2 linked regions of the Diceros bicornis minor genome follow. Each later gene encodes a partner of the first gene's protein in a complex. Links are inferred from orthologs where the notes say so. Each region holds a gene or a part of one and is shown on either strand. Other genes may lie near its edges.

Evidence for each region.
Region 2: the proteins of NR5A2 (region 1) and NR0B2 are in contact, whole or in part, in a crystal structure (PDB 1YUC), measured with the Homo sapiens proteins. The link is inferred for Diceros bicornis minor from reciprocal best matches to the Homo sapiens genes NR5A2 and NR0B2. Residues at the interface, in NP_995582.1 of Homo sapiens: Phe354, Val357, Arg361, Phe366, Val371, Asp372, Gln374, Met375, Leu378, Gln379, Asn529, Asn530, Leu531, Glu534, Met535; in NP_068804.1 of Homo sapiens: Arg17, Pro18, Ala19, Ile20, Leu21, Tyr22, Leu24, Leu25, Ser26, Ser27, Ser28.

What each region holds. Positions count from the first base shown.
Region 1 is NC_080777.1:28,490,552-28,502,199, reverse strand, and holds the start of NR5A2 (nuclear receptor subfamily 5 group A member 2), read right to left. Parts: upstream 5,094-11,648; 5' UTR 4,940-5,093; exon of another isoform or gene 4,476-4,939; 5' UTR 4,421-4,475; coding exon 4,339-4,420; intron 4,237-4,338; exon of another isoform or gene 3,767-4,236; coding exon of another isoform or gene 3,766-3,766; intron 1,596-3,765; exon of another isoform or gene 1,441-1,595; intron 1,411-1,440; exon of another isoform or gene 845-1,410; coding exon of another isoform or gene 844-844; intron 496-843; coding exon 377-495; intron 1-376. UniProt on the Homo sapiens protein: Orphan nuclear receptor that binds DNA as a monomer to the 5'-TCAAGGCCA-3' sequence and controls expression of target genes: regulates key biological processes, such as early embryonic development, cholesterol and bile acid synthesis pathways, as well as liver and pancreas morphogenesis.
Region 2 is NC_080752.1:42,662,974-42,674,510, forward strand, and holds NR0B2 (nuclear receptor subfamily 0 group B member 2), read right to left. Parts: upstream 4,529-11,537; coding exon 3,988-4,528; intron 3,072-3,987; coding exon 2,773-3,071; 3' UTR 2,535-2,772; downstream 1-2,534. UniProt on the Homo sapiens protein: Transcriptional regulator that acts as a negative regulator of receptor-dependent signaling pathways. Specifically inhibits transactivation of the nuclear receptor with which it interacts.

The sequences.
Region 1 (11,648 bases):
AGTTAGAATGTATTTGGGAGATACTCTGTCATGTTTCCTCTCAAGAACAACGATGCTTTAAATATATATAAGTGAAGCAAAATCAATATTTAGGACTGTTAGCAATAGAAGTCTTTCTACAGCAACATCACTTTACTACAATAAAATATTTTAAAGCCATGGGACTGGCAACATTCTCTAAACAACATAAATTTCTTTGCCTTTTGAATTAAATCAGACACATATTTCTAAGAATCATCTGCCTAAGACTCTTTCTCGATCTCCTTTTTAATTGAGTGTTAAAAAAAAACCAGCCTAAATTTAGCTTTAAAAGGTAATCCAATGTTTATTTTGGTTTTGAACATTATATTTCTCAGGTAGCAATGTGTAAGCAAACCTTGCAGCTTTCACAGGTGAGGAGCCCGTAATGGTACCCAGACACTTTATCTCCACACACCGGACAGAGCTCTTCAAGGTCTTCATCATAGGAGTAATTCACCATTTTAAACTGAGACACTGAAACAAGAAGAGAAATGTATACACATCTCCAATTAATTTACCATGTAGGTTTTAGTCCTGCAATGAAAAGCATTTTGGTGATTGGTGGGCAAATATCACCCGGAAAAATAAAAATAATTTTTACCCAGGTATACTGAAGAGAACTATTTTTATGCAGTGAAAGTGAAATATCTTTTGGCATCAATGAGCATGCACTTCACATTTTTTTTTTTAATTTAAAAAGAATTCCAATTTCTTTTGATAAAAATTTTTAAAGTGACCGCTGTTGAACACATAACTGCAAAACGCCAATCCAAAGAGAAACACGAATTGCATAAAGTTAACAACTAAGTTCCACAATGTCACTTTTGCCTCAGGGAGAGGAACAAGCACACACATCACTCTCCCAGTCCTGAAGTAAGTTTGCTGCAAGTACACCCCGCTTAGAAGGATGGCAACACCAATTTGCAAACACTTGACCGAGACCCTGAAGCCCCACAGGCCTGCTTCTCAGCCTCAGCCCCACTTTTACAACAGCCTGCGGCTCCCACGGTTCAGATGTGTTAGATTAATCGAAACATTCAGTTCCGTGTTGGCAGGGCTCCTGTGCTGGGTACTTTCATCTCCCCACATTTGAGAATCTCCTGTAAAAAGAAAAAGAAAAAAGGGAGGACGCCGGAACAAAAGAAAAAGTAAAGAAGAGGAAAAGACACACACGAGGGTTTGGTTTCGTTGCAAGCCCTGTCTTGAACTTCACATGTTTCCGATCATCACTGCAAAATATAAACACCTCGAGATCGCCCTGTTCAAGTTAAACAGAAATCAGGCCGTGTAGCCGCGCCTCACTGCGGGGATTGGGTAACCGCCTTCCTCGGGAGGCAGCCTCGCGACGGCGTCTTCGCTGCTAAAAGATGGATAAACTCCGGACAGGAGGGGCAGTGGCCGGGAGACCCCAGATACTACCTGATCAGTCCCTCCCTGAGACTCTCGACTCGGAGGGCAGGCGCCGCGGGTCCCGACGGCCAGGGGCAGGTTCGAGCAGCCCGGCCACCGACCGCACCCCTCGGGGCGCCTTCCTGTGAAACCCCGAGGCGCACTCGCCTCTGGTCCCTTGCTCAACCTCGGCTACACACAGGCGCACAAACACCGAGTCGAGTTTGTTTTAAGTTAATCAGTGGCATTTGCAGGGGGCGGGGCGGGGGGGAGGGGGAGCTGATGGCCGGGCAGAAGTTTCCTCTGATTTGTTTACCAAAAAGGAAAGAGAGAAAAAGCCCCCACTGCATCCCCGAAGTACCGGCCACTCTATCACCGTAGTGGCCTCCTTGCCAATGACTTGTTCTTTTTTTTTTTTCTTTTTAAAATAAAGTTTTTCTCTAAGGATTCCGCGGGCCCCAGGAAAGGGCCGTGGAGGGGGAGGTCACTTGCAGCACTTGTCGGCTGAGGGCCGAGCACCGACTGGCTGAGTTGAAGCCTCTCTTCCCGAGACACAGAGCCCTGGCCTGGGGCTTGAACTGGAGTGAGTTAGCCAGAGTTTGGGAGGATCTCAGGAAAAGATGTTCCAGCAGAGGCAGGCGCCTGGGCTCCGGAGACGGAAATAACGAGATGCTGAGCGCAGTCCTCCCAGCGGAGCCAGCCCGAGTCCCAACCCTAAGAAGTCTGCGCTCAGGTTTTGGGAACCTGGGGGCTTGGGGGAGGCTGAGGGTTGGATAAGTTTATTTATAGTCCCATCTCTCCTAAAACTCGTGACTATTGCCTTGAGGCGTGTTTTAGGGACGGAAAAGAAGTGTACTTTACCTCCTCTTTCCCCAGAAAAGTAAACTCTACCTTCGCACCCAAGGCGCACAGAGAAGCAACCATTCATAGGCGGCCTCGGCGCCTACCTCGGACATCCAACACCGAAGGGACAGGGGCTGGGGGTGGGGACCCTCGTGGAAAGTTCAAAGACAGAGGCCGCTAAGCAAGACCGGGCATCTTTCAGAGTCCCCAGGTGCTGTATCCCAAGCAGGCTTTTGGAGAACCGAAGCCGGCGGGGCCAAGAAGTCCCTGCCTGGAGAAAGTAGAGGGGTCGGTGGGGTCTTGGAAAGCTAAGGCCGCAGACAGGCACGGGAAGTTTCCCCAAGTTGGACGCGCTGCGCTGCCCCGGGACCCAGCAGCGGGTCCCCTTTCTGGGCTCCCCCACGGGCCAGATTACGGCGCGTCCCCGGCTGAGACCAGAGCAAGCAAGGGCATGGGGTCTCCGTCCCCAGGGGCTTCTCGAGGGGCAGGCCGCGTGGCCTAGAGGGAGCCGTGGCCCGGCGCTTCCCACAAGGCTTTCCAACCGCCCAGCGAGCGGCCGGCGGCTTCTCCTGAGCCCTGCGCCCGAGAGAAAGCTAACTTTCCGCTTTGGGACAGTAGGTCATCCAAGAACGCCCCTCTTGAACTTTACAAAGAAAATATTACAGTAGCATTTCTCTCTCATTTCCCCCCAAACCCCCTTATTCTTGCCTCCCCTACTTCTTGCTGCAGCGTCTCCCTGAGCCTCTTTCCCCCGAGTCCCTCAGAAAGGCGCGCGACGGAACCAGGGGCAGAAACTTTCCTTTTGGACCCAACAATCCGCCGGCCTCACGGCGCCCAAAGGACAGTCCCTCTCCGCAGCTGGCGGCGGAGGGTCTCCCGATCCGGCTTCCCCCGCGCCCGCACTTCGCGGGAATCCAGGTGCCCGCGGGAATGCCTCTTTGGGCCAACCGGGTTCCCCCAGCAGCCAACCTACAAGTTACTCTCAGGGGCCTCAGCCCCAGGGGACTTCCACAGCCCTTCCTGGAAGCTTGGAGAGACTCCAGGGTCACCGACCCCACAGGCAGGACGCACGCCTTCCCGCCACCCCTTTTCCCAAGGCGGGCGGGCGCGCCGCCTATCCCGCACCGCGTGTGCACCAGCCCTGAACTCCGCTCTCAACACCTCCCGGTCCTTTCAAGTTCGCTCACGGGGATGGCAGGAAGCGTCCCGGGATCACAGGCCCGCCTGCCCGCACATCCTGCGCGCTGGAAAGGGAGAGGATGGAAGGGCGCCGGTGACTTTTCCTAGCATTGTTCCCTCCCCGGCCCAGAGCAACTGCGATCAACTTCTGAAGGGCTCAATACAGCCAGATCTAGAATCGCTATTTTGGAATGCGGAGAAAATATAGCCAGCGGGTTCTGCTTTTTTTTTTGTTAGCAATCAAGAGCTGGGAAAACAAATATGACTTCCATATTCCCAGCTCTCTGACTGAAGAGGCAAGAAGCTAAACCGCTGCCCCCGCCCTCCACTCACTCGGCAGTACCCGCGCAGAGGACGGCCGTTGGGGTAACTTAGGTTCTTTTCAGTTCTGCCCGCAGTTCTGAAGTCGTCCAAATTCGAGCCGGCTCCCGGTGTCCCCCCGAGCTTTTGGGGTTGCCCACATGCATTCTAACACCGCTAAGACAAGCTTTTCCAGAGTCTCCTTTTCTTTCTGTGGTTGACTTTCCTAGGCAGGGTGGTGTTGCTCCACACAAGAGCACTGGTTAAAGTTCCCACAGATTCCAATGACTGAGAACCTGCACGGGCTTCCAGCGAGACATTCCATTTCTTAGAATGATCTTATTATTCTAAAGTATCTTTAGCCTGAAGCTGCCCCGCTCGGGTTGCCACAGAGCTCGAAGCCTCTCTGCTTAATTAGAAGCGGCCAATTAGGCATTGCCTGGAAAACCTCCGCCCTGCATTGTTCAAGAGCCATAAACTTTTATGCGTGCACCTGGGGAGGGGGCCCGGCGCCCGCGAGCGCCCAGCCTGGCCACCCCTGCGCCCGCGGGGCGCGCCCGGGGGTGGGGTGGCCGAGGAGCCCGAGCCCGCGCAGCGCCTGCTCACCTTGCATGTTTTCCGGCATCTGCCCCTGTTCCCCATGCGACCGAGCCAGTCCCAGGGCTTCCGTCTCCACTTTAGGCAGCATGACAAGGCGGCCGCGGGCGGGGAGAGGGGTCCGCGTCCGTCCGGAAGCTCAGCACCTGGACACGGGCAGCACAGATTCAACTCCGGCGGAAAGAAGGCAGGGGCGGCCGGGGTGCCTGCTCACCCTCCGGCTCGCGGGAGCGTGCGTCCGCCTCCTCCGGGGCTGCGCGTCCCGACCCCCGAGCCCCGTCCAGTCTCGCAGCTCCGGAGCCGCTCCCAGCCGCGGGGAGGAGACGAGCGGAGACGGCGTCCGGGCGCCCTGGGTCTGCTCGGCCCTGGCGGCGGCGGCGAGGGCGCAGCTGCCGGGCGGATCGTGTACGGCTGGCTCCGGGCGGGCAGCGGGGGCGGCCCCGGACCTGCCGCCGCTCCCGGAGGGACCGCTTGGGCGACTCCCACCCCTCCGTCCACCCGCCCTCTGGCTCAGGATCTGCAGGGGTCTCTCTCTCTCTCTCTCTTTGTCGCCTCACTTCTCCTCTCTCCTCTCCGTCCCTTCCCCTGTCTCCGCTTCCCGCTCGCTCACTGTCACAAGTGTGCAGTTGTGAAGTTCCAGCCTCCCTTACTCCTCTCGCGGGTCCGAGAGCAGCCCTTTCCAGCCCCGAGGGCGGCCGTGCCGGCAGGAAGGGGGGAAGACAAGGAGAAGGAAGGTAAGTAGGGCCGGGGGCAGGGGCAAGGCTGGGATGAGGGGTGATGACAGTGAATGGGGACGCGGGTTCCGGACTCGGGTCGGACACCAGCCGCCAGCCAATGAGGAGGAGGCGCATGCTCCAGTCCCCTCGCCTGCCCCAGCCCCTCCACCCCTTCACCCCCTCCCACCCCACCCTGGCCTGGGGCGGGGGATGTAAAAGCTGCCGGGTCTTACAGCTGGTGAGAAGCGACCTCTGTCTGAGCGCAGTGGCGAAGGATGAAAGGCTAGGGCGGCTATTTCCTGGAGCTGAGGGGAAGCCAGGAGCAGGGATGGGGATGTGAGTGGGTGTGGGTGTGTGCCCTCGCGTGTGTGTCGGGTGAGGAGCTGGAGGGGGAGTGTTGAACTACCTAAAGGAGAAAAGAGATGTTGAATTCAGTTGAGTGCTCTTCTCCAAAACAGAGCTGGCCAGCTCTCCAGGTCTCCGGCTTCATTCCCCCGGGGCACTGGGTCTGCGGAGAGGCCCCCCATGGGCCCCGGGCGCCCTGGGCCCATGCTCACGAGGGGACAGCCATGCCGCTGAGAGTTCACTCACTTGCCGGAAATGTGAGGACCAGCAGTCCCTGTTTTCGCACTCTTCCCCGGCTTCTTAACTCACTTATAACCACCACCCCCCGCCCCCCGCCCGGCTAAGATTATTTTAGCGGCGGACTTCCTAAATTTTAGCGAACTGTGCTTCCAGGTAACATGCAAAGCTCAGTCGGCTTTCTTTTTCATCCTGGTGTCTCTGGTGGGATGATCCACATGAAGCCCAGAGGCCCAGCACTTTAAAAAACTTTTAAGGAACCATCTGTTATGCAAGTTCTTCCGCCACCAGCCCAGCCACATCTTCAAAGTTTTCAGATCTCATCCCAAGATGAAAACCACTTTTTCCAGCCTCCTGACCAGACGAGAAATGCCTCATATTCAGTGTCTGCTGTGAGACCGGGTAATTATCAGAGTCCACCCACAAGGCGGTGAATTTGAATCTCAAAAGATCTGAATTTATTCTATTTGAATGGCATAGAGATCACACATTCACACTGCCCAGTACAGTATTTGATAAATTGAAAAATACTCCAATCATTGCCATGCAAAATCTACACTTTTATATGAAGTGGGTGGTTCATACCCACCCACCCCTGGCCATTCAGATAATTTGGGCTCTCTAAAGGGATTTGTCATTTTGCTCTTCAGGAGATATTCAGAATCTGAGTTATTTAAATTTCAGTTTTAGTAGCCTCTTCAGGTTTCATGAAACCATTTAAACTTGGGAGGGGGCTGTCCATCAGTTCATAAGGGGGAGTGGGCTTGAGCTGCCAAAATTAGTGACACTTAAGATGCTCAGGTTTTCCTGAGAGTATCAAGTCACACTGTCAATCCATTTCCAGTATTACCAGTTGTTTTAAGTATCGTTGTGATTGAAGAATATATGTACCTACATAGTTCAGAAAGGGAGGTAAGTTTCAGAGCTCAAATCAGCACTCAGGAGAGTTGAAAGTAGGAAGAGGGTCCCACACGACCATGTAATTGTAGTGTGGCAAAAATCTTTGCGTGCACTTGAGGCTGAGCCTGACAGCCAGGCAAACTTTGTGATCACGTTCATAACCCAGCTTCAGCCCCAGAAGCGACTTAAGGCCACAAGAAGCCCTCTTCAGTCCAGGCCAGTCTGCCCTCCCAACTACGCTCCCTGAAGAGTGGGAGAGATGGTGACAAAGGGCCAGCTGGCATTCATTCATCTCCTCACAAAACAGGAGGGGCGATGTGTGTAGGGGGATAGGGCTGGGGACAAGATTTTAAAATTTGCACTTAAAACAATCCACAGTTGTCCCACAGAGGAAAGGAACAAGGCTTTTCACCCTGCGTTGAAGCTCTGGTCCAGGCTGACGGCTCGGCTCAGTTAGCAGCCAACCCAAGGGGCACCGAAAGAGCAGGAGGTCTCCAGCCGAGAGAAGACTTCCTTTTCTGAGAACCAGAGCAATTCCCAGCCCTTGGCGCTCGAGGCCTCCAGCTCGAGGAAGGGAAGGGCTCCCTAGGGCCAGCCCTCTCCAGATCCTCCCGGGGGACGTCGAAGCTTCCCCTGCAGTTGTTCTTGTCGGAGACCCGAGGGCACACTCACCTTTTCCTCGGTCTCTCCGCAAGGGGCTTAGGGGAGCGGCGGAATTCCCAACTCCGGGGCCGACGCAGAGAGAGGTCGGCGGCACCAAGCCTCCGACGCCGCGCTCATTACCGCCCTCCAAGCGCACTTTCCACCCCTCTGAACTCCCTCTTCGTTCCGAACACTCACTCTGGTCCCTTGACCCTGCAATTCCGGTGGGCAGGGGCTCCCACTGAAGCCGGGGACCCGCTTGCCCTGTGACCTGGGATCGGCCTGGGCGTCTCCTACAACGTCCTCTGGGCAGGAGGAGCCGGAGGCCGCCCGCGGCGCCTCGGGTCGGTTACCTGGGGATGGTTCTAGGTTGCAGAGGCCGCGCTGTGAGGCGGGAGAGCCCAGAGGACGCGGAAGGGGAAGCCGTTGAGATGCAAGGAGGGGACAGGGCCTGTGTGGTCTAACGTTGATGGTGCGGACTGGGAGACAGCTACACCACCGGCTGGGGCTGACAGAGCCCCCATGGGCGGGCAGACGCACCCGATCCTCCGCCCGGGGCATCTTACCTGGAGCCACTCTGCTTCTTAGTGGAAGCACGCTTGGGAATCCACCCCAGCTGTGGGAATTTTAACTGGTGTTGGAGACCAGAGACCGGAACCCGGGAGGCCGGGGTAGACGGCTCCGGCTTAGCTACAGTGCGCCTTCTCAATTTCTTCCTGCACTCCCTCTGCCAACTTCTGGCAAACTTCTCTCCCCTTTCCCCCACTTCCCACACGCCTCCTCCTTTCCGACGAGACTAGTCTCCAGGGCTCGTCCTTCCCGATTCTGACTTTGTCTTAAAGCCTTGATTGACGGTTGCAATTACAAAGGATGATGGCTCGGGGAGGCTCCCGCAGCCTTGATGAGCCCGAGAAGCGCAGTCCTGGCATATTTTATTCAGGCTCAGCGTTACGGGGCTGTGCGCCCCATTCACCTGGCAGGCTGCAGCTGAGGAGGTCTCGCACTCCCACCCGCGAGGATGTAACTGCCTTGCTCTCCTCCCCGCCTCCACCTTCCCGCGGTTGCGCGCCGCGTTTCAGAGCGCGCGCCGGGAACAGCCTGCCCTTGACCCGACCTGAGAAGCGTCGGTCGGCCCGCGCGTTTAACGCGTGCAGGCTGCAGAGAGAGAAAATGCCAAGACTTTCAGTTTCCTGGTTCAAGTTTTCCGGGCTCGGCAAACACAGGTCCCCGGAAGAACAGAGTAGAAGACCCACCTCTACCGCGCGCATGGGTGAGAGAAGCCTCTCATGACCCACGCAACCTCGCAAACTTGCAAACCTACATCCTTGGAAACAATTTCTTAAGCCTCCTCCATTCCTACCTTTTGGTGTTCTTAAGAAACCAGAATAATTACTTTTTTTTCGTAGCACGTGTCTACATTTCAGCCCCAGAAGAAACCTAGGTTTTTTTTTCAGTCTCCACAATGAGGCCGGGATAGCCCGAGGGGAAAGAGAAGCAAGTTTATCAGCCCACCGAAGCTCGGGCTCTGCCTAATTTTTCCGCCCCTCCCGCTCGAAAGCCCATCAGAAGCCACGTTTGCCTTTCTCCGAAAATTGAGTTTAGCAAGAACGCCGCAGTTCCGCTCCTGAGTCAGGGGGTTGGGCCATCCGCCCCGCCTCTGGGCTCCCCACGCCGGCGTCCGGAGCACTTTGTTTTAAAAAGAGAGAGCTTAAATTTCAGCACAGATATCTAAATTACCAAGAAGCATCGTATTGGCCGAAGCTTTGAAAAAATAAACTTCAATAGGTGAGAAGTTGTGCCTCGTTAAAAAAAAAAAAATCCCTTTCTGCTGGGTGTGTAAGTAACTATTTAAGACATCATTAACAACAGCCGCTAGTGCGGAAGGAAAACTGCCAATTTAGACCTTCTACCCCTGAAAGAGTGCTGGTTAGGTATAGCCTGCAAATGGCGATTGCTTCACCATCACTATGGGAGTATCTTAATACACACCGCCCCGTCTTTACTGGGGATGAAAGTGCAAGGTGGAGCAATTATCTGGGTAATCTAGGCTCCTCCACCCCATCCCCCAGACAACCTCCCATCCCTGCCCTGAAGGTAAGGTGAGGTTTTTGGAGAGTTTGGCCTGAATTATCGAAATCTGCTGCTCTGTAAAAAACGTTTCACTGTAGAACTTTCTGACTTCATTTTCTTGGGGGCGTGTTGCCCCAACCCACGGGGCCAGGCGCGCCCGCCTTGGTATGGTCGGTGCCCTTGGAAGTGAACGGGGAGATCCGGTCTTGGGAAAGGAGATGACTGGGGAAATAATCTTGGGGAGGTGGTCCAATCTAATCTAGCTCTTCCTCTCTGTAATTATAAGGGAGATGTGAGTCAGCTACAGCTCAAAACTGTGGGGCTCCACTCTCGGAACCACCCCTGTCCATCCTCGGGACAAATCAGAACATCGAGTGACGTTCTCAAGGACGATCGTGGCGCCAGCAGGCCACCAAGCACTTAGTGAAACCAGCTGAATATTTGCATTGCCATTCTGTTCCCCGTGCCCCCTCCTCAACCTGGACTAGCAACTAAATCCTCAGCACTAGCCTATTCTAGCCTACCATTCCACTGAATCCGGCCAGACTGGAAGTTTCGGGAAGGACGGCGCAACGTGTCGCGTGGCTTCCAAATTCCGGCGCTCCTGCAGCACTGGGACCGACCCTCGGAAACTCTTGTTTTAGGACAGCCCTCACGCCAGGGTTTCCGGCTCTTAAGATCAAAGAGAGCCGGGGCGCGCAGAGCTGTGGGCGTCGAGCAATTTGGGTCCCTCTAGGGCAGCAAATAAAGTGGGGGCTTGGAGAAAGGTGAGACTTGCAGGGTCTCGTCACCCTCGGCCTTGCGGCGCGGAAGGTCTGGGGGGTTACGCGAATGCCGGGTGCCGGATGGGGGCGGCTCCTCCTCCAACCCGCCTCCAACTTGAAGACAACTTTTGTAGTTAAAAGATGGTGGCTGGCGTGCGCCAGGGCTTGGGGCAAATTCTTTCGCTTTCCCCCAGGGCTTTTGTTTGGAAACTGTGGGACGTTGTTTCGGGGACCTGGAGGCGGGTTCCGACCGATTTTCTTTCCAATCCTATAGAAAACCTCTGGAGGCGGTGGAACTTGGGGGAGCTGAGGCTGCGGACGTCCAGATCCTGAGCAAGGAATCTGCATTCACTGTGGAAAATGTTAGCGCCGGGCGTGGACCGGAGCTCACTGAAGGGGACACGCTCGGCTTTGCGTCAAAAAAAAGAGGAGGACGTGCTTAAATTCTCTCTTTCCCTATCCGCTCCCCCGCCATAAGACCAAATATATTTGTCTCTTAGGGGAAAAAAGTCTTCTTTCTAAAGTCAGTCACTCATTTTGAGTGATTTCCCTGCCCTCCTCATACCCACTGACTCTGTAACAAGTAGATGCTCTGAACTTCCTCTCAGTTCCCTGGTCATCCTCTCAGTAGCCCTGTGAGTTGCCACCATGCACCACGTAACTGCAAGCTAATCCTCAGCCACAATCCAGAGGTCCTTTCCAGGAGACTCTAGAGTAGACCAGAAGCACCTTCCCACCCTGCCCTGCCCTCAGGGCTCCCATGTGCTGTCTCCACCCCCACCCCCCAATTCCCCATCCCACCCTTCAGAACTCACTGGGATCTAAATCTGATTTCTACTGTGGAATGGAAAGGAAGATAAAGAGCCATTCTAGCTTCATCCGGGAATGCCTTTCGGAAGTCTGTGTAGACCAACATTGTTTTCAATAATGCCTTTATATCAACAAGGGCAGAGAGTTACTACCTTGAGGAAAGGGCAGTGGCTTTCAAATTCTATCCATGGGTTCTATTTACAGTTTACTCTCCTGACAAGCTGAGTGATCTTGGGTAAATCCTGGACCTTTCTGATTCCATTTTTATCAATAAAGTAGGGCTAACAAAGCAAACTGTATAGTTGCATGAGAAAGTGCCAGTAATTCAGCATATCATGCTGTTAATAAATATCAGTTCTCCTTTGTATTTCTCTCTTTCCCTCTAACTTCATTCGAACTCATTTTTCTGTAAGGAAAATAACTACAAAGGGCATCACTAACCATTATAGGACCATTAAAAATAGATCCTTCCAGGGGCCGGCCCGGTGGCGCAAGCGGTTAAGTGCGCCGGCCCGGTGGCGCAAGCGGTTAAGTGCGCGCGCTCCGCTGCGGCGGCCCGGGGTTCGCTGGTTCGGATCCCGGGCGCGCACAGACGCACTGCTTGGCAAGCCATGCTGTGGCAGCGTCCCATATGGAGTGGAGGAAGATGGGCACAGATGTTAGCCCAGGGCCGTCTTCCTCAGCAAAAAAAGAGGAGGATTGGCGGATGTTAGCACAGGGCTGATCTCCTCACAAAAAAAAAAAAAAAAAAAAAAAAAAATAGATCCTTCCAGTGGGAAGTACTTGCTAACTTGACTATCTTGCAGTGTTTGACACAGTCTTCAGGGACTATTAC
Region 2 (11,537 bases), on another chromosome or scaffold:
TCTGAGCCTGTTTCCTCCTCTTACCCTCTCTGGTTGTTGAGACACCAGTCCCACTCCTAAGATGCTGATAATGGAGACACAAACCCCCACCTTTGGAAAGCCCGCAGTCTCGTGGAGAAAGTATATTGCTCTAACTTCATCGTACTCTAATTCTCTTTAGTTGTGCTAGATTTGTCTTTATTTATGTTCCTGGCACAGAGGATGACTCAAGAGACATAGACGAGAAACAGACAGAAGTGTAGCTCCTGGGCCATATGGAGGGGTAGAGAAGAAATTTACGATGGAGCAAGGTAGGGCTAAGAAGGGAAGCTATTGATGATGGAAACATTAGATAAGTTGAGGGAAAAGGCTGGAGTGAGTAGTAGAGACAAGCACTTTCCAATGGCTGTTCAGGGTTGGAGGAGGGGAGGGTTGAGAGGCAGGAAGACTCAGTCTGAGGGTTCAGAGAGGTGCAAGAGTAAACTAATGGGGGCAGTTAGTGAAGGGACATAAAAGATGGAATGACCCGAAATCTCTGAGTCTGCTGGGTTTGGCTCCTATGGGGAGACAAGGTGTCTGCTCTTGAAAGAGTTACCTTAGGCATCTGCAAGGCGAGATGGGGCGATGTGTGCCGCAGTGCTGGGAGGGGCAGGGCAAGGAGAGGTGCCTGGGGACCTGAGGTCTGGGTCTGGGGGTTCTGGTGGGCAGTGAGGGAGTGAAGGGATCCCAGGCTTGTTCTGGGCTCTAAAGGATGCTTCTATTTAGGGATTTGATTAGGTCCTGGATGGGGGGAGTTGGTGAGCAGGGCATGGCCTGTCTGAGAGGAGGGTGGATATTGGGGTCACCACGGGGAAAGGGCGTGATTGGTTAGTTGGGACCCCAAACACCAGGCAGAGCAGTTTGACCTGGATTTGCAGGCTCTGGGTAGACCCTGAAGATGTGCAGACACAGATTTACCTACTTTGGGGGCCACTTTTCCTTTTATTGTGACATACAGAAGATGGAAAACATGCCCTCGTGTAAGAGTGCCTCCGTGTGGTGTGCCCCACCCTTGGGCGCAGGGGAGTATGTATGAACATCTGGCTTGGGTGTGTGTCTCTGTTCTGTGAATGTGTTTGAGTTCGCTGTATGTCACCGAGTGAGTGTACATGGGCTGTGCATTTCTTTGCTGTGTGTGGGCAGCTGGAGGGTCTGTTTTATGGGTCTGTGTAGGTGTATCTGCATTGTATGTCTTAGTGTGTATATGAGAGAGTCATAGATCTGAGTTGCGTGTGTCTTTGTTGTGGGGTCCGAGCTGTGTGTTTCTGTCTCATTGGGTGTCAGAGTGATGAGTGGGTGATTGGGTAAGGCACAGGGGTGCCCTTGCTGCTGGCACTAGGTTCCCATAATGGGTACATGGCCAATTCAATTGTGGTCCCTATCCTGGGGGCCTTAGGGAGAGGCCTGAATGACGACTCCTAGACTGTTGTCCCCAAGTGAATGACCTCTCATTGAACAATAATTAACTTAGCCTTCATGAGAAGAATCCAAACTGTGGTGATGAAGGGGTTGGGGCCTGGTCGGTAGGCCTTATTGCTGGAGAAAGGAGGAGGCCTGAAAGGGGGTCCTGTAGGCATGTGTGTTGTTATCATTCCCTCCTGCCCACCCTGCAGCTCAGTCGTCCTGACTTGGGGGATATTCAAAATATTTAACAAACCGTGAGGCACAGACATCGACCAATCAGAATGGACACAAGCCAGGCACTGAATGGAGCAGCCCTGGAGGCCGTGGCCACCCAAGCATTGCCTCTCTAGTTGCTGGACAATGGGATTGGATTCCAGGAGAAGGGCTGGGGCAGAGGGGCAGTGGAAGGAGCTCGGGGGGGCTCAGGGCAGTGACTGTGAACCAACTATCATGAAAGTGTTTCAGACTTCACCAGCTGGCATGGCAGCTAAACCTGGCCTGCCTTGGCCTCCAAGGAGCTGCCAGGCCAGCACTGGGTCCCTTGCCCCCTCCGGATCAGAGAACAATGGACCACCCTCTTCTGTGGGCTGCAGGAATGGGGGAAGTGAATGATTCCAAACTGCAGAAATTCCAATGACCTTGTCTGTTTCAATTTTGGAATGGGCAGCTTCATTTTCCTCGTTGGCTGTGACCTGACTCTCACTGAGGTGAGAGGGAGCCTGGGGCAGGAGCTGAGAGAGAGGTCCGTGGGGGATTTGGGGAGAGGGAGAGATACCCTCTCCCCCCAAAGATAAAGGCAAGGAGGTGAGGGGGTCCTGAACTGATACTATCCCCTGGATTCAGACCCATGCAAAATAAATCTCATCTCCAGAAATGAAATCGTCATTCCATCCTGAAAAATTAATATCCCAGTTCCCTGAGGCCTGGCTCCTGCACCCCTTATGGTTCCTTCCTCTTGGGCTCCCTCTGATAGGGGCAGGGTGGGTGCTGGCGATGAGATGGTTCCTTCCTCAGGGACAAACTACAGTGTCAGCTCCAAGTTTGTCACACCTTTTATTACAAAAACCAATAACTTAAGTCGTTTCTGTACAAAGTCAGTAGGACTCCTGGCCCAATGAGCAGACTAAGCTTTCATCCCCATCCCAGGAGGGGACAGGAGTTTTGGCCCAGAGGCTCTGGGACCACCAAGGGCCGGCCAGACAGCTGGAGCAGTGTCCAAACCAAGGAAGGCCAACATGGGGTGTGGCTGGGCCAGGGCCAGCTTGCTCTTCAGGAGCCAAGTGCTGTCTGTACAGGTTTGCATCCTCTGGGAGCACTGGGTCACCCCTGGGGACAGGCAGCCAGGCCAAATCAGTGCTGCCAGCCTCTGCACACCCTACACCTGATCTCTGCTTGGGCTGGAGCAGGTTGGCTCAGCAAAAGCATGTCCTCGAGGAGGCCAGCTATGTCAATGTCTCCAATGACAGGGCGAAAGAAGAGGTCCCCAAGCAGGCTGGGCGGAATGGACTTGAGGCTGGAGGCTGTGAGGAGGACACGGGCCAGGCGGCCTTGGCCTGCTGGGCACCTGGGCTCCAGGACCTCACACAACGCCTGATGAGCCTCCTGCTGCAGGTGCCCGACGTGGGAGGTGGCGTGGAGGCCTGGCACGTCTGCGGGCAGAGAAGGTGAAGAGGGCTGGTGAGCACCCCACTCCCAGACACCACAGGGCAAGGCTGGCCCAAGACCTGAGGCCACCAGCTCGGCCTTTGAGGCCCCATTACTACCTCATCCATTTATTTATTTATCATTTTATTCATCCATCCATTTATGGAGAGGCAGTATAGAGTAATGGTTAAGAGCCAGGCTGCCTGGGTTTGAATTCCATGCTGTGTAACCTTGGGCAAGTTACTTAATCTCTGTACCTCAGTTTCCTCATCTGTAAAATGGGGATAATAATAGTACCAATCTCCTAGGCTTGTTATGAGGTTTAAATGAGCTAGTATATGTAAAACCCTTAGAACTGGACCTAACATATGGTAAGTGTTATATGAGTATTAGCTGTTATATGAGTATAATTATTATAATTAATTACTTTAGTTTACACATTCTGTGAGGGCCCTTTGATGAAGAATTCTCGTCTAGAAGCTCTCCAGATTACAAAGAACACTACCTTTATCTGTTGACTCTTCCCTCTCCTCCCCACACCCCCTCGTCTTCATTCCTCTTCTCTACGTGGTCTTTCTGAAACTACAGAGTTTTACCTGTGACTGAGGCACAGCTGTGTCTGTCCACCCTCCCCTCCCCCACTCCCACCTTCCCTGAGGGTCAGGGCATGTTTCTTGGGCAGAGTGGCAAGAGCAAGTCTCTGGAATAGACCTGAGTTCCCATCCCTGCTCTGCCCCCACCTGGCTGTGTGACTTTTAGCAAGTCACTTAGCCTCTCTGAGCCTCTTTTGTGAGATAACTATTTGGTGATAATGAGGACTCAAAGAGATAACAGATGTCAAGCCCTTAGAAGTTGCCTTCCCTGGCTGGGCCCTGCTCCCTTCCAGCCTTAGCCCCCATCCAGGAGTGCCTAGGAGCTCACCAGGGTTGAAGAGGATGGTCCCTTTCAGGTAGGCATATTCCTTGGGGCCCAGCTCCAGGCTCCAGAAGGACTCCAGGCAATACTGAAGCCACTGCACTGCAGCCAGAGAGGGCTGGGGCCGATCAGGCGGCTGGGCACTGCCTGCACTCCTGTTGGGCTCCTCCAGCAGGATCTTCTTGAGTATACTGGGAACCGGGGCTTCAGCCACCTCGAAGGTCACAGTGTCTTGGGCCAACCCAAGCAGGAAGAGAGGGCCCCAGCAGCCCCGCAGCAGCCGCCGCTGATCCTGGGGGTGCAGCTGGCAGAAGGATGGCAGGTTCCTGAGGAAGACCACTGTCTTGGCCAGAACATCCAAGGCCTCCTGGCAGGTGCGATTGGGAGCACACAGCTGGACAGGCCGGTGCTGCCTGCACAGGCAGTGGCCACGGGCTGGGGCCACAGAGGGCCTGGCCCTGAGGCTGGGGCTCAGAAGTGCATATAGAATGGCTGGGCGGCCTGCAGCACCCTGGCATGGGCAGGTCCCTGGCTGGCTGGAGCTCATGGTTGAGGCTCTGCTCCTCCTTCCTCCCAGCTCTCCCGCCCTCTGCTCTGTGCTGTGGGTGCTATTTATATCTCCAATGGTGGGGAGGAGGGAACAGCCCAACAACCTTGACTCCAGAAGTCATGTTCATTGAAAAAAAAAGAAACACACACTGACCCTGGCAGGACTAGTGGGGAAGTGGCAGGGGACAGGGGGGGCCTTGGGAGCTCCACGTGGCCCTGATATTGCTTTAGTCAATGAAGTGGCCGGTGCAGGGCATGGGGCCACCTGCCCGTTGTCCTGGCTGCCCCTTATCGGATGACTCAAGCGGATAAACAGGGTCATTAACCCAGGCTGTACCAGGGCACCAAGGCCTCAGGTGCACGATCAGCAGGTGGCCATGGCAAGTGTCCCTATTGGTGCCTGTGAGACTCTCGCTAAACCGGGAAGCCAGCCCGAGCTGGACAAGCCTTGAACACAAGGCCCAACCTGGAAGTACCTTATCGCTGGCTTATTTGCCTAACCTTGGGGCCCTGCTGCTGTTGTTGGTAAGGAACAGGCTGCAGGGAAGGGAGCCAAGACCCCAGGAGGCTGAGAGGACTTTGCCTACTGTGCAGTCTAGGAGTGGACTGACTCCAGTTTGAGGGGCCCTGCAGAAATAAGGTCCTTAAGAACTCTCTCTCCAGTCTGGATTCCTAGAGCTCCTGCCATCCCAGAATGATAATACAATATGGCTGCTGTTTATTAAGCACCCACTATGTGCCAGGTATTTTTCCACTCTAATATTCAGAGCTTCCCTATGAGGCAGGAGTCTTACTTTTTGAGACTTAAAGAGGTGAAGTGACTTGCCCAAAGTCACGCCACTAAAAAGAGACAGAACCCAGATCTATCTGACTCCAAAGTCTTTGCTTGTTCCTCCGGATCCACTGGCCCAATTGTGTAGCCAGAGCTGTGTGGCCTGGGTTTCCCAGAGCTGGTGACTACCTGGGCCCCCACCTTGCTGCCGCCCACTTATAATCTGAGTAGAAACGTTGCTCTGCCGCCAGCCACATGACTCCTCTGTCCTGGGCATCTGTCTCAGACGGTGGGGCGTGGATTATGAAAGCGGGTGGGAAGGTCCTCGGCTGTGTCATATCTGTGGACCTTGGCAAGCCCAGCCTGGCAAGCCTTCTGCTACCACACCATTGGGCAGCCATCACCATCCCTGGCATCTGCTCCTGGCTCTATCACTTTCTAGTTGTGTGACCTTGGGCTGATCCCCAAATCTCTGTGGGCCTCAGGAGCTTCACCTGGAACAATAATGTCTGTCTGCCTGCAGGGCTGCTGTGAGGACAAAGTGAGGTCCTGGATGTCAAATTCCAAGCAGTTTCTGGTATACAGTAGGAGGGCTTTGCCCCCGCTTCCCTCTGCCTAAGGAAATAAGCCCCAGCAGACAAATGGGCATGCATCTTTCATTTGATTGTCAATAATCTTAATCCTTACATTTACAAAGTTCCTTTCACGTCCTTTTTTTTTTTTTTTTTTTTTTTTTTTTTTTGTGAGGAGAACCAGCCCTGAGCTAACATCCAATGCCAATCCTCCTCTTTTTTACTGAGGAAGACTGGCCCTGGGCTAACATCCATGCCCATCTTCCTCTACTTTATATGGGACGCTGCCACAGCATGGCTTAACAAGCGGTGCGTCGGTGCGCACCCGGGATCCGAACCGGCGAACCCCGGGCCGCCGCAGCGGAACGTGCGCACCCAACCACTTGCGCCACCGGGCCAGCCCCCCTTTCACGTCCTTTTATCTCACTGAATCCTCACAGTGTCCCCTCAAAGGAGACTCTGGAGTCAGACCGCCTGGGTCCAAATCCTGCTTCATCACTTAGATGAGAGACCTTGAGCAAGTCACTTTATATTTCGATGCCTCAGTTTCCTCACCTTTAATTTTTTTTTTAATTTTATTTATTTATTTTTTCCCCCAAAGCCCCAGTAGATAGTTGTACGTCATAGCTGCACATCCTTCTAGTTGCTGTATGTGGGACACGGCCTCAGCATGGCCGGAGAAGCGGTGCGTCCGTGCGCGCCCGGGATCCGAACCCGGGCCACCAGCAGTGGAGCACGTGCACTTAACCGCTAAGGCACGGGGCTGGCCCAGTTTCCTCATCTTTAAAAGGGTGGTAAGAAAGGCCAATAGTGGATATTGGTTTTATGGGGTATGAAGCTTATACAATCTGAAGGGCCTTCTTTAAGAATAGAAAATCAGGTATGAAAGTGAATATTTAAAATGAAAAAACATGGGCTGGCCCCGTGGCTTAGCGGTTAAGTGCGCGTGCTCCGCTGCTGGCGGCCGGGGTTCGGATCCCGGGCGCGCACTGACGCACCGCTTCTCCGGCCATGCTGAGGCCGCATCCCACATACAGCAACTAGAAGGATGTGCAACTATGACATACAACTATCTACTGGGGCTTTGGGGGGAAAAATAGATAAATAAAAAAAATTAAAATGAAAAAACAAATCTCTACAAATTACAAACTAAAATAAGCCAACAGAAAACACAAACATTGCAAACCCAGGAGAATACCAAGGTACTTTTACTGATCAATTGCCTGACAATATTTACCTACGTGTTTTAGCTGCACACTCTTTGTTCACCTCTTCTCATGTCAATGATATTTATTTTGAAACCATCACAAACAACGTTTGCAAGTACAGTACAGAGAACTTTTTTAACCTTGAACCATTTGCGAGTAAACTTCCAACCTGATGCTCCATAACCCCCAAATACTTTAGTGTGTAATTCCTACAAACAAGGACATTCTCCTATATAACCACAATATATAGTGCATAACCATCGACATCAGGAAATTAACATGGAAAAAAATCAGGAAATTAACATCTAATCTCAGACCCCATTTAAGTTTCACCAAATGCTCCAGTGAAATTGTGGTGGTGGAGGGGCTCAGCCCAGAATCTCACATTGCATTTCTTTATCATGTCTCTTTAGTCTTTATCAGTCAGGAAGTATCCTTGGTCTTTTCTTGCCTTTCACGACCTTGGCACTTCTGGAGAGTTGTTATTTTGTAGTATGGCTCTCAATTTGGGTTTGTCTGAGGCTTCCTTGTGATTGCTCAGGCTATGTATCTTTAGCAGGAATATCACAGAAGTGGTACTGTGTTCCTCTTGATACATCCTATCAGGGAGCGTACTTTTCCATTTGTCCCATTGATCACTTTGGTCACTTGATTAAGGTGATGGCTGCCAAGCTTCTCCACTATAGTTCATCTTTTCCTCTTTGTAATGAATCAGTATTTTATGAGGAGGTATTTTTATTTATTTATTTATTTATTTATTTATTTATTTATTTATTTATTTATTTATTGTGAGGAAGATCAGCCCTGAGCTAACATCCATGCTAATCCTCCTCTTTTTGCTGAGGAAGACCGGCCCAGAGCTAACATCTATTGCCAATCCTCCTCCTTTTTTTTTTTTTGCCCCCCAAAGCCCCAGTAGATAGTTGTATGTCATAGTTGCACATCCTTCTAGTTGCTGTATGTGGGACGCGGCCTCAGCATGGCCGGAGAAGCGGTGCGTCAGTGCGCACCCAGGATCCGGACCCGGGCCGCCAGTAGCAGAGCGCGCGCACTTAACTGCTAAGCCACAGGCCGGCCCTATGAGGATGTATTTTAAAACTATCTATATATTCCTCCTCATACATTGAATGTATGTATGTATGTATTTAGTTAGGAACGCAGGGTCTCCTATTTTATTCAGTGGCTTGCAATCTGTTACTATCATTATTTTGATGCTAAAATTGTCACAGATTTGGCCAATGGGAGCCCCTTCAAGCCGGAGTCTGTGTCTTTTTGACATGCCCCATCATTCTTTGAACATCCTTTGTCTTCTGGTATAAGAAGATACCACTTTTCAAGCCCCTGGAATCAACCAGTACTCCAAGAAGTTCTGATTCAATCTTCTAGTGGAGAAGAGTATTTAAAAACCATAATCTGGGGACTAGAATATTTAAAAACCAAGATCTGCTCATTGCTATTAGGGTGTCACTGCTCCTAGGCCGTCCCAGAGCTAAGGAATGTACAGACACACACACACACGCGCGCGCGCACACACACATTTATATTTATTTCTATATTTATTCATACATATACTAAAAAACATGAGTTCAGATCATTATCTGCAGTTCTAATCCACTAAAACAAGGTTCATTCTAGTTTTCGCTCTTTCTGTATTTACACCTCCCTTCTCCGACACTCAGAAATCTGGCTTCCATTATTCTTAATTTTTTTACTTATTGGATAAAGCCACCGTTTGTAACTAATCTTCCATCTCCACTGTCGCCCCCTCCCCTGTGAGATGTCTCCCTACCCCACTTGGGCTCTGATACCTGTGTCAGGTGCCCCCTCCCCCTCGGGGACGCCCTCTTCACGCAGCTGGGGATCTGTCACCCAACACCAGGTGGCTTCTCTGTGTGGACGCCCTCCGCACCCTGGTGGAGCTCTAACTTCTGCTCTGGGCTGCTGTGGCTCCCTCTCTCTTCTGGTGCATATTTGTACCTTGTTCTGCTAATAGTTTTAGGATTGAAATTTTCAGGAGGAGGAGGAAGTAGAGCTGTCAATGATTTTTAAAAATAAAATTCTAGGGCCAGCCCCGTGGCTTAGCGGTTAAGTGCTCGTGCACCGCTGCTGGCGACCCGGGTTCGGATCCTGGGTGTGCACTGACACACTGCTTCTCCGGCCATGCTAAGGCCGTGTCCCACATACAGCAAATATAAGGATGTGCAGCTATGACATACAACTATCTACTGGGGCTTTGGGGGAAAAAAATAAATAAATAAAATTATTTAAAAAATAAAATAAAATTCTACAGTGAGGATACAGTGAGATTCTACTGTGAGAATCAACAGTGAGAATTCTACAGTAAGAATTCTAGTGAGAATGATTCTGTCTTTCCTCTTCCATGGTTGATCAACAAAAAAGTTTTATTCCTGATAGTTAGGATACATAAGACATGCCACTTCACATGTAGATGTATTTGCTACTTGTCGTGCTGCTTATAGGTTTGTAGTAGGAATTTTGATAATTTCTACTTTGTGTAATTCCTATCAAAAAAGAAAAACATGCATGGAGCATTTATAATTGCATAGCCTGCATATTTCTTATACAAGAGAACTTCCTTTTTTGAGTTGGTGTCAATATGAAATGACAATTTCGTGATGATTGAAAGAATTTTGCACAGATTGGCTTCTTGATCCACACAAATTTTTTTCTCCTCCACCACGCACGTAATTCTAGGTGTCTTGGGAATAATTCATATTGGGAAGTGGGATAGAGTGGGAAGAAACAGTGGTTTTTAAACAATTGTAGTTTTAAAATTTTATCTTTGCAAATTAAAAAGAAAAAATATATATGTATTTGACCCTAAGAAGACGTTGCTGGGGTCTCTCCCAGTGCCTTGGATGGGCCCGTGCAGGCCCTGGAATTCAAGCCTCATTAGCCTCACAGAAAATCTGCCTCTAATAGTGCCTTTCCTGGGTGCTAGTGAGACTCAAGTGAGGTGTTTGTGAGGACACACGTGCCTGGCACACAGCAAGTGCTCCATAAAGGAGGGAAATTGTCCCTATTATTGTTGTTGCTTTTTTACCCTCATTTCCTAGAGGATGAGGTTACAGAGGAGGAGACCCAGAGAAGGGAGGAGACCCCTCTGTGGGGGTCACGGTAAGGCTGGGCTGGAAGCTAGGTCTCCAGGTTTTAAGTCTTGCGTTTTTTGCACTGTGGGGAACTGTGTTTTCTGATTCCTGTGTATGGCCTGAAGACCAGGGTGCTAGTCCTGGAGGCCCTGGAGGGTGAGGAAAGGCCTCAGCTGGGATCTCTATAGCCCAGAGCCTGACTGGGGCCACTCACTCAGAGAAGTAGGAGGCCTCTGTGGGAGAAAATGGTCCATCAGCTGCCCTCTGCCTAGGCCCTGCCCTCAGTCTAAAGGAGGAGACATAGGTCAACCCTCAGGAGACCCCAGTCTAAAGGGGGAGACACAGCTCTGCCCTTGGGAACCCCAAATCTAATTGGGGTGACACAGGCCAGCCCCGAGGAGGCCCCATTCTGAGGAGGGAGAGACAGCCCCGTTCTCAGTAGCTCTAACAAGGGAGCCAGGACGCCACATCAGTGGTGGGCGGGAATGCTCAAATGGTACGGGGGGCTAAGGAGCTGGAATTTGGAAGACTTTCTGGAGGAAAAGTTCATGACAATGCTTTCCCATCTGTACAGCACTCTACGGTTTACCAAGTACTTTCACAACAATTATTTCAGTTAATCTTCATGCAACAATAGGATGGGGGTGTTACTGTCCAAGCAGGAACAATAATCATCAACATCCTAAGAATGATAACAAGTGACATTTATTGAGCACCTACTGTGTGTCAAGCACTGCATTATCTGTAAAATTAAAGGACACTCCATAAGATAATGTATGTGAAAATGCTCTGCAATCCTATGCCCAGGATGCACGTTTGTTTTTGTTGTGCACCGAGTCCTCAGACTAATTGAAGGGGCAGCTGGGAGATCCTGGGCTGCAGGGGGCATGGGTTAAGCATTGGAACTGGGAGTCAGAGAGCCAGCACTGGGCACCTTTTCGTTTCCTGAACATGTCATGCACCTTTGTGCCTCCCAGCTTTTGCCCATGCTGTTCCCCCACCTGGGATGCCTTTCCCTTACCCTGTCTGCTTGGTAAGCTCCTGGTCACCCTTAATGGTCTAGCTCAAACATTACTGCTCTAGTGCAGGTTTCCTGTCTTGCCCTCTCCACCTGTTCGGAAGAATAAATTGCTCCCTCCCTGAGTTCCCTGTCATCTAGTCCACACCCTTCAGAGAGCACTTAGCACGGTTGGTGTAATCAGCCACTTGCCTGCCATTAGTGGTGTTCAAATGTAGATGGGGTCAGAGGTCACTAGGGGAGACTGATTGGTCACCAAGAGGGGGACATTCATTATCTTAGTAAATTCACCAGGGTCCAAGATCAGGCCTTGGTTTCTCAGGGAAG